Linked DNA regions of Nothobranchius furzeri. The protein of the gene in region 1 interacts with the protein of each later gene in a biochemical or structural test. Links are inferred from orthologs where the notes say so. Each region holds a gene or a part of one and is shown in the gene's direction. Other genes may lie near its edges.

Region 1 (3,908 bases):
CTAATGTGTGGCCTTTTTAGAAAATAAAATACGATGCCAAAATAAAAGTAGCAAAGTGGTTTGATGGGTTATTGTAAAAGTGATCCCCCCCCCCCCCCCCCCCCATATACCTTACTAATGCATTCTCTTTGTTAATAAAGCAAACGTCCTCTTCGCCCTGCAGCTTTGTTCCTTTCCACTTGTCTTTTGATTCTCTAACAGCCTCGTTTTTAATCTCTTTCCTTCTTCTTTCATCTCACTTGTCAGGTATTTTGAGGTTGTCTCATCCAGCAGAAAGAACTCCATGTTCCTGCGGGCAAAAGACCCAGCCATGGCCCAGTCCTGGTACAATGCCATTCAAGCTGCTGCCGCCAACCTTTTCCCGCAAGTGAAAGAGGAGCTGAAGAGCATGCAGCCTGGCATGGAGGTCAAACATCTGGGCTGGCTTGCAGAGCAGGTGTGAAAGAATACTGATATACAGGAGAAAACAGCCAAAAGTGCTTTTCACTTTGAACGTCTGAATGCTACATGCTTTTCGTAGCTTTTCTGCCAGGTTTCCAACTTCTTAGGCAGTAAATTTAGTTTCTGTTGCTAAATTTAAACTCATTTCCACTGGCTTTGTTCCAGATGGGGACAATCTGGTGGTGTTTACTGTCCAGTTAATCATATATGACAGGGGCCCTCAAACTGAATATCCAAGGGTCCAAGTATGATTTCTGGATAAGGTCAATGGCCTGGAACAACTATGGATAAGAAAATCAATCCCTTTGCTTAATCTGTACAACTAAAAGAGTTGGTACAGTTGGTTTGCCTTTGTTTAGTTGTGAGTCTAATCTTTTTTTTGTCAGTAAAGCAGCTAAAAATAATAGAGGTACTGAATATAGAGTTTAATGAGATACTATAACACCACAATGTTTGATGTAAAGGTCACAGATGCTCTGGGACATTTAAACCACTCTTGTGAAACGTCTCTGAACAAATTAAACACACGGGACTAGTGGTGAACCCGTGGACCTTTGAAACCTTTTTTTAAGATAACATTTAGAAAAAATCATTAGGATATGATGACATGGACAGAGGGCACTGGTCCCAGTGTTGCTTCTTCAGAACTGCACCTATTGGCACTTACACACTAGCATCGGATCAACTCCGCCTGGACGGGGTGTGGAGTGTTCTCATTTGGGTAGCCTTGGATTTTCCCGGGTGCAACCGGACGTCTTTTCAGCCCTCTTTCAAAGGCGGTCTGCCTGGAGCCAAACTGGTCCAACACACTGACTGATGACTGATTGGGTGACTCAAAATCACGCCTACCATTAGGGGGAGCCTCCGATTGGTCAATAGAGTCAGCCTGAGGGGCTTCCCGCATGCGCAATTCATTATCATTCTGGATGCTGTGGAGTTAACGAGCCTGACTGAAGACATTTTTCTCTGTCTCTCACTGCTGTGGACACACACACATACACACACACACACACACACACACACACACACACACACACACACACACACACACACACACACACAGTTCTGCCAAGCAAAGCAAAGCAGGATGCAATATCAGAGTCTCTCCAAAAGCAAGACTGCAGGCCGCCTTTGTTTAATAATGGAGACACGGCGGACCTCTTTTGCCCTGCCCACGTGCTCGGAGATGCGCTCATGACATTAATGAAATCTGTTTTTCATATCAATTTTGGAGACCACCCATGTGCTCTATCACGCCCGCATTCCTAAGGCATTGAGAAATAAATGCGACCAGGCTGGGGCGGGCTGTCGGGCTGTGCGGAGTGGAGCCGATGCTAGTGTGTAAGTGGCATGAATGCCTTTTAGCCTTTAGCTGACATGGAAATGTTTCATGAAACTGGATAATTTTTTTGATTTTCTTAAAGGTGATGTTCATTGAGACACGTATACCACTGTTCTGTTTAAAATGAAATCAGTCACTCTGAGTTTCACGTGCATGCTGAACGAGAAACTAATCTTCAACCCCTATTTCCTGCATTAGCTGCTCAAAGAAAAAAATACAGGGAAATACTCGGATCACAAAAAAGCTACACAGATCTACATCATTCTGTAAAATTAGCATTTATGGACTCATTCGTCCTGAATCGTGAGGGGGAAGGCTGCTGATTTAGCTGCAGGAGAAAGCAGAGCACATCTCGGCTAGCTAATCGTTAGCATTAGCAGCTCCTCAACATGGCAGAACTCTTTCAGGCTTGTGTTATTTGTGGACATAAAACATCAACATCTTTGGAAGAGTCCGTGGAATGGTTGCATTGCTTTTAGCCAATCAGAGGTGAGATGTTTTATAATCATGAATATTAATGCATAAGACCCCCAAGTCCCGCGCTCACTAAATTCCACTTCCTGAAACAGGAGTGCCAGAGCTGCTCTTTCCACAGAAAACAACTCACAATTCATTCAAATTAGAGACCACTGCAAGTTTATTGAAATAACAAGTGTAGGCCCACTCCATAAAATTACATGAAAGAAGTAAATATCTGTTATAGGGCTCCCATCACCGATAGCTGCATAGCGATGATGAGTTCACTGGCTGCCTGGCAACAGCAAATGTCTGGTTTTTAGTTCCACTCGATCCATCGTTGAACAAGTCGATCTTGATACTTATCGTCCGACACCGATCAACTGTTTTATCTTATCTTTGGTGAAAAAAGAGAACAGTTACCCTGTCACATTGTTATTCATTGTTAATTCTTCTTTTTATGTCTGTGTGTGTGTGTGTGTGTGTGTGTGTGTGTGTGTGTGTGTGTGTGTGTGTGTGTGTGTGTGTGTGTGTGTGTGCAGGTGTCTCATGGTCCAGAGAGACCTGTTCTGGCTGTGTTGACAGAGAAGGACCTGCTCCTGTATCCAGCCTTTCCTGAAAGCAAAGAGATTATGATCAATCCCACCAAGAGACACCCACTCATCACCACCAGGTCCACACACACACATACCAGTCTCACCTACACACACACGCCCATGTTTTTATAGCAGATCTGTTTCCGCCTATAAGCATTTAAATTTTTTCCACTGGTTGGTTTTGGCCATAGGGTTCGTGCTCACACTTTCCATAACTGTAATCCTGAACATTTTGTCCAACAGCATCATCATCATTTGGAAAACGTTAATGTTAGCAGAACCTATGAGTCATGTATATTTTCCCTTCTATCTCTCAGTTTCACATTTTCCACCTCTAAACAGTTTTCTTCATCTCTAATCCCTAATTATTGTCTCTCTCTCAACCACAGTCTGGTGATATTTTCTTCTTTCTTCCTAAAGGTTGGTCCACTCCGGCCCAGGAAAAAGTTCTCCTCTTTTGGACTCTGAGCTGTCGTTCGGTCTGCGTTCGGGCACCAAGCAGGGCGTGGAGACGCACGTGTTCAGAGTGGGTTCTGCTAAGGAGCTGTCCACCTGGACTCATCTGCTGGTGGAGGGTTGCCACAACGCTGCTGAGCTCATCAAGGAGGTCACTGCAGGTGAACAGATCCGGTCAGAAATAGGTCTCTCTGCATTCATGCTCGGATTGCTCCCCCTAACTAATATAGGTCCAACGCAGGGGTCTACAACCTGCGGCTCTGGAACCACGAGTGGCTCTCTGGACCTTCCACTACGCCTCTTAATAACTTTGACAAAAAAATGATAAAAAAAGGAAATAAAAATCGTCGTCGTCTTCCTCCGCCTATCCGGGTCCGGGTCGCGGGGGCAGCATCCCAACTAGGGAGCCCCAGACCGTCCTCTCCCCTACCACCTCCACCAGTGGCAGGACCCCAAGGCGTTCCCGGACCAGATTGGAGATGTAACCTCTCCAACATGTCCTGGGTCGACCCGGGGGCCTCCTGCCGTCAGGACATGCCCGAAACACCTCCCCAGGGAGGCATCCAGGAGGCATCCTGATCAGATGCCCAAATCACCTCAACTGACTCCTTTTGATC
Region 2 (3,908 bases), on another chromosome or scaffold:
GATTGATCGATCAATCAATCAATCAATCAATCAATCAATCAATCAATCAATTGTTTGTTATTTGTTGAGCATTTTACTCACAAAATTGACCAAAGTGCTGTACAGTTAACAACATGACAAATAAAACATAGTAACTATGATAAAACAAATAAAAGACAGGACAGGAGTAAACATGACTACATAAAAGAAGTAAAATATTAATATTAATACCTAACCAACATGATGTGTTTGTGCTCAGCTGAGATTAAAAGCCAAATTACAAAGGTGAGTTTTTAAAGAGACTTAAACTCATTCAGAGACTCAGCCATCCTTATTGGCAGAGTAAGACTGTTACATAGTCTGGGACCCACAGCGGAAAAGGCCCTGTCCCTTCAGGTCACAAGACAAGTCTTAGGGACCCCTAAAATGAGCTGGAGCTCAGACCTCAAACGTCTCGTAGGAACATACTTGCTCAAAATCTCTGTTAGGTAAGGAGGTGCCTGGCCATTTAAACAATTAAAAACTAACAATTAAATCTCAAAGTTAATCCTAAAACGAACAGGCAACCAGTGCAGGGAGAACAGAACAGGGGTGATGTGCTCAAGGCGCTTAGTGCCCATAAGTAGACAGGCATTTTTCACCATTTTTCAGGTGCCGCAGCAGAGAGTTGTCAAACCCAGCATAAAGGGAGCTGCAGTCCAGTCTAGAGGTAATCAGAGCATGGATCACCCTTTCTAGGCCACCATTTGATATAATGAAACCAACATATTCAAATACACCTTGTAGTTATAGAAATATACTCATTAAAGTGTGGCAATGTATTCTGTGCCTCTGTTGCTTTGAATGATTATAATGCAATTAATCAAGATTAATTAATTACAAAGCCTCAAATTAATTAGATTAATTATTTTAATTGAGTCCCACCCTTCATATATATATATATATATATATATATATATATATATATATATATATATATATATATATATATATATATATATATATATATATATATATATATATATATAAACATTTATATACACACACAAACACCACACACATTTATGCTTTCAAGATGATTAGCTTCTCTGTCACATGACTAAACAAATTACAAATGATCACCCCCTAACCCTCTGAGAAAGATACACAAACGGCAACAAGATGGGAATAATCATCACTATCAGTCCAGTTTTAATTATTGGACCAATACGGTATGTTAAAAAATGACTAACATCTGTAGACAACGATATTGATGTATTTAAACTGTGCATCCTTGATATTTAGACATAACACAAGTGGATTTTATTTCATTTGCTACCATAGAGGTAGTTGAGTGTTTGTTTTTAACACACTGTTGTTGTAATGTATTTACTGCGTTTTTTGCAGTTACTTTGTTGCATTTGTGCAGGTGCATTCCTGGTGCCGTACCTGTTCTTCATGGTGATAGCTGGAATGCCTCTTTTCTACATGGAGCTGGCTCTGGGACAATACAACAGGGAGGGGGCTGCAGGTGTCTGGAAGATATGCCCAATATTTAAAGGTAAGAATTTTTTATTGTCACTAGGGGTTGAATAAGGAAAATTTGACTATACAAATAGAACTTCTGCAGATTTTTTTTTTCTTTTATTATGTTGTTTTTCTTCTGAAAAAATAAAACTTTTGGAACTTAAATTGGAATAGTTGTAACGACACTTGGACACAAAAGGACGTTCACTCTCACCTGAAAAACCTAAATAGAAGTTTGCAGTGATTTAGCATTGGATGTGGCATTTTTTTTCCTGATTGGTAGCTAGCTAATTATGCACATGCATGGCTTATACGTGATTATTTTAAACATGTCAGCCTTTTCCTACTGTAGTGCTTTTTCCAGTGTCACCAATGGGAAAGGCGTTGACATAGATGATGATTTTAACCCACCAAAGAATGAGACCCTTCTTCCATCATTTCATTCTCATTCTACTTTATCATTATTGCCACAAAGTTACAACCAGCAAAACCAAAACTACATAAATCACAAACAGAGCTGCCTGGCTCTGAATTATCAGTCAACAACAACAAAAAGACGTGTTCTGTTTTAAGAATTACACATGAAAACACAAACCCTCACACACGTTTTTATTCTTTCCATGAAAATGTCCTGGTTTGTGGTTGCTTTTGTTTTTGGTCCATTTGCCTTCATTGCAGCCTGACTGACAGTAACTCATTCCCGTCTTCATGTCTACGTCTCTCTGTCTGTGTGGCTGCCCACATGCCTGCCTGTCCACATGCCAGTCTCTTTTGTCCGCCCGTCTCTACGTTGAGCAGCGACAGGCATTATTATCCCTCCCAGAACATCAGGTTCTGTTGGCACTTAGATGGAAAGCAAAAGTAAATTGGGCTTTTAAAACTCTCGCCCTGGTTGTCTAGTCAGGTGACGATGACTGGCGGACACGGTTTTTGAACACATCGATAAGCGGAGTGCGGTCCAAGAGTATACACACTAATGGAGACACAAACAGTAAGACTCATTTTTGTTTCCTAACTCAGCCGCAGGTTGAAAAAAATAATGATACTCTTTGCTCGAATCAGCATTTTATGCTTTTGTACACTTTGAAAGCTTTTATTTTTACAGGCGAAACTCAAACAATTAGAACATTAGTTCATTTATGCCAGTAATTCAACTTAAAACACACGAAATAGACTCATCAACCTTTATTTTATTTGTAATGATTATTGTTTACAGTTTATGAAAACCTCACATTTAAAATCTCAGACAATTAGAATATTGTGAAAAGGTTCATTATCATTAAGTGTCACACTCTAATCAGCTTTCAATTCAATTCAAGTTTATTTATATAGCACCAAATCACGACAAGAGTCGCCTCAAGGCACTTCACATAATAAACATTCCAATACAGGTCAGTTCATTAAGCCAATCAGAAAAAAAGTTTCCTATAAAAGGAACCCAGCAAATTGCATTTATTGCAATCCTCATACTAAGCAAGCATTTAGCGACAGTGGAGAGGAAAACTCCCTTTTAACAGGAAGAAACCTCCAGAGAATCCTGGCTCAGTATAAGCAGCCATCCACCATGACTCACTGGGGATGGAGAAGACAGAGCAGACACACGCATACACCAATATCAGCCCACCCACACACAAACACACATCCACACACACAACATATATACCAAGCAATGTTTCTATGGTTACATTGTGATTTCTTAGTAAATTTTCTATTTGGTGAAAGATAAACTTTATTGTATTTATCCTAGTGAATCTATAGTTAAACGGGTAAACTTGTAGTAGCACATTCCATGTCAAAGAAAGTAAAGTGTTATTATCAGGAGACGGAGAATATTTAAATGGTTAGCAACAGTGTTCAAGATGATGGCCCCCTCCATGAGGCCGCCACAGCTCAGCAGAACGTCATTGTAGCTTCTTCTGGGGAGAAAAACACTTAGAGAGAAAATAAAGTTAACAGCTGAAATTGCAGGAAATAATACAGTTGAAGAGCAGATTGTAGAAGAAAGTAGTCGAGTGTTTAAAGTGGTCAGTATGTCCTCCAGCAGTCTAAGCCCATAGCAGCATAACTACATAGATAACTCTGGATAACCTAGCCTTTTAGATGGAGGCATGTTGGAGAGCCGTCTTTACCGACTGTACACTCCACCTCCCTCTACTCCCCACTTGTCCAGATCTAGGCTAACACCAGATTTTAACCATATGCCCTATCAAATAAAAATGTTTTAAAACTAGTCTTAAAAGTAGACAAGGTGTCTGCCTCATGGACTAAAGCTGGGAGTTGGTTCCACAAGAGAGGAGCCTGATAGCTAAAATATCTGCCTCCCATCCCATTTTTAGATATTCTGGGAACCACCAGTAAACCTGCAGTCTTGAGAGTGATGTGCTCTTAAGTAAAGGTTTGATTACAGCAACCTTAATATCCTG

The links. The genes of interacting proteins can lie anywhere in the genome.
Region 2: the proteins of snta1 (region 1) and slc6a3 interact in a test that uses a peptide from one of them, tested with the Homo sapiens proteins (2 studies listed by BioGRID and IntAct). The link is inferred for Nothobranchius furzeri from reciprocal best matches to the Homo sapiens genes SNTA1 and SLC6A3.

Annotation. Positions count from the first base shown.
Region 1 is NC_091743.1:60,424,278-60,428,185, forward strand, and holds part of snta1 (alpha-1-syntrophin), read left to right. Parts: intron 1-246; coding exon 247-436; intron 437-2,781; coding exon 2,782-2,912; intron 2,913-3,255; coding exon 3,256-3,452; intron 3,453-3,908. UniProt on the Homo sapiens protein: Adapter protein that binds to and probably organizes the subcellular localization of a variety of membrane proteins. May link various receptors to the actin cytoskeleton and the extracellular matrix via the dystrophin glycoprotein complex.
Region 2 is NC_091745.1:43,574,185-43,578,092, reverse strand, and holds part of slc6a3 (sodium-dependent dopamine transporter), read left to right. Parts: intron 1-1,387; coding exon 1,388-1,519; intron 1,520-3,908. UniProt on the Homo sapiens protein: Mediates sodium- and chloride-dependent transport of dopamine. Also mediates sodium- and chloride-dependent transport of norepinephrine (also known as noradrenaline). Regulator of light-dependent retinal hyaloid vessel regression, downstream of OPN5 signaling.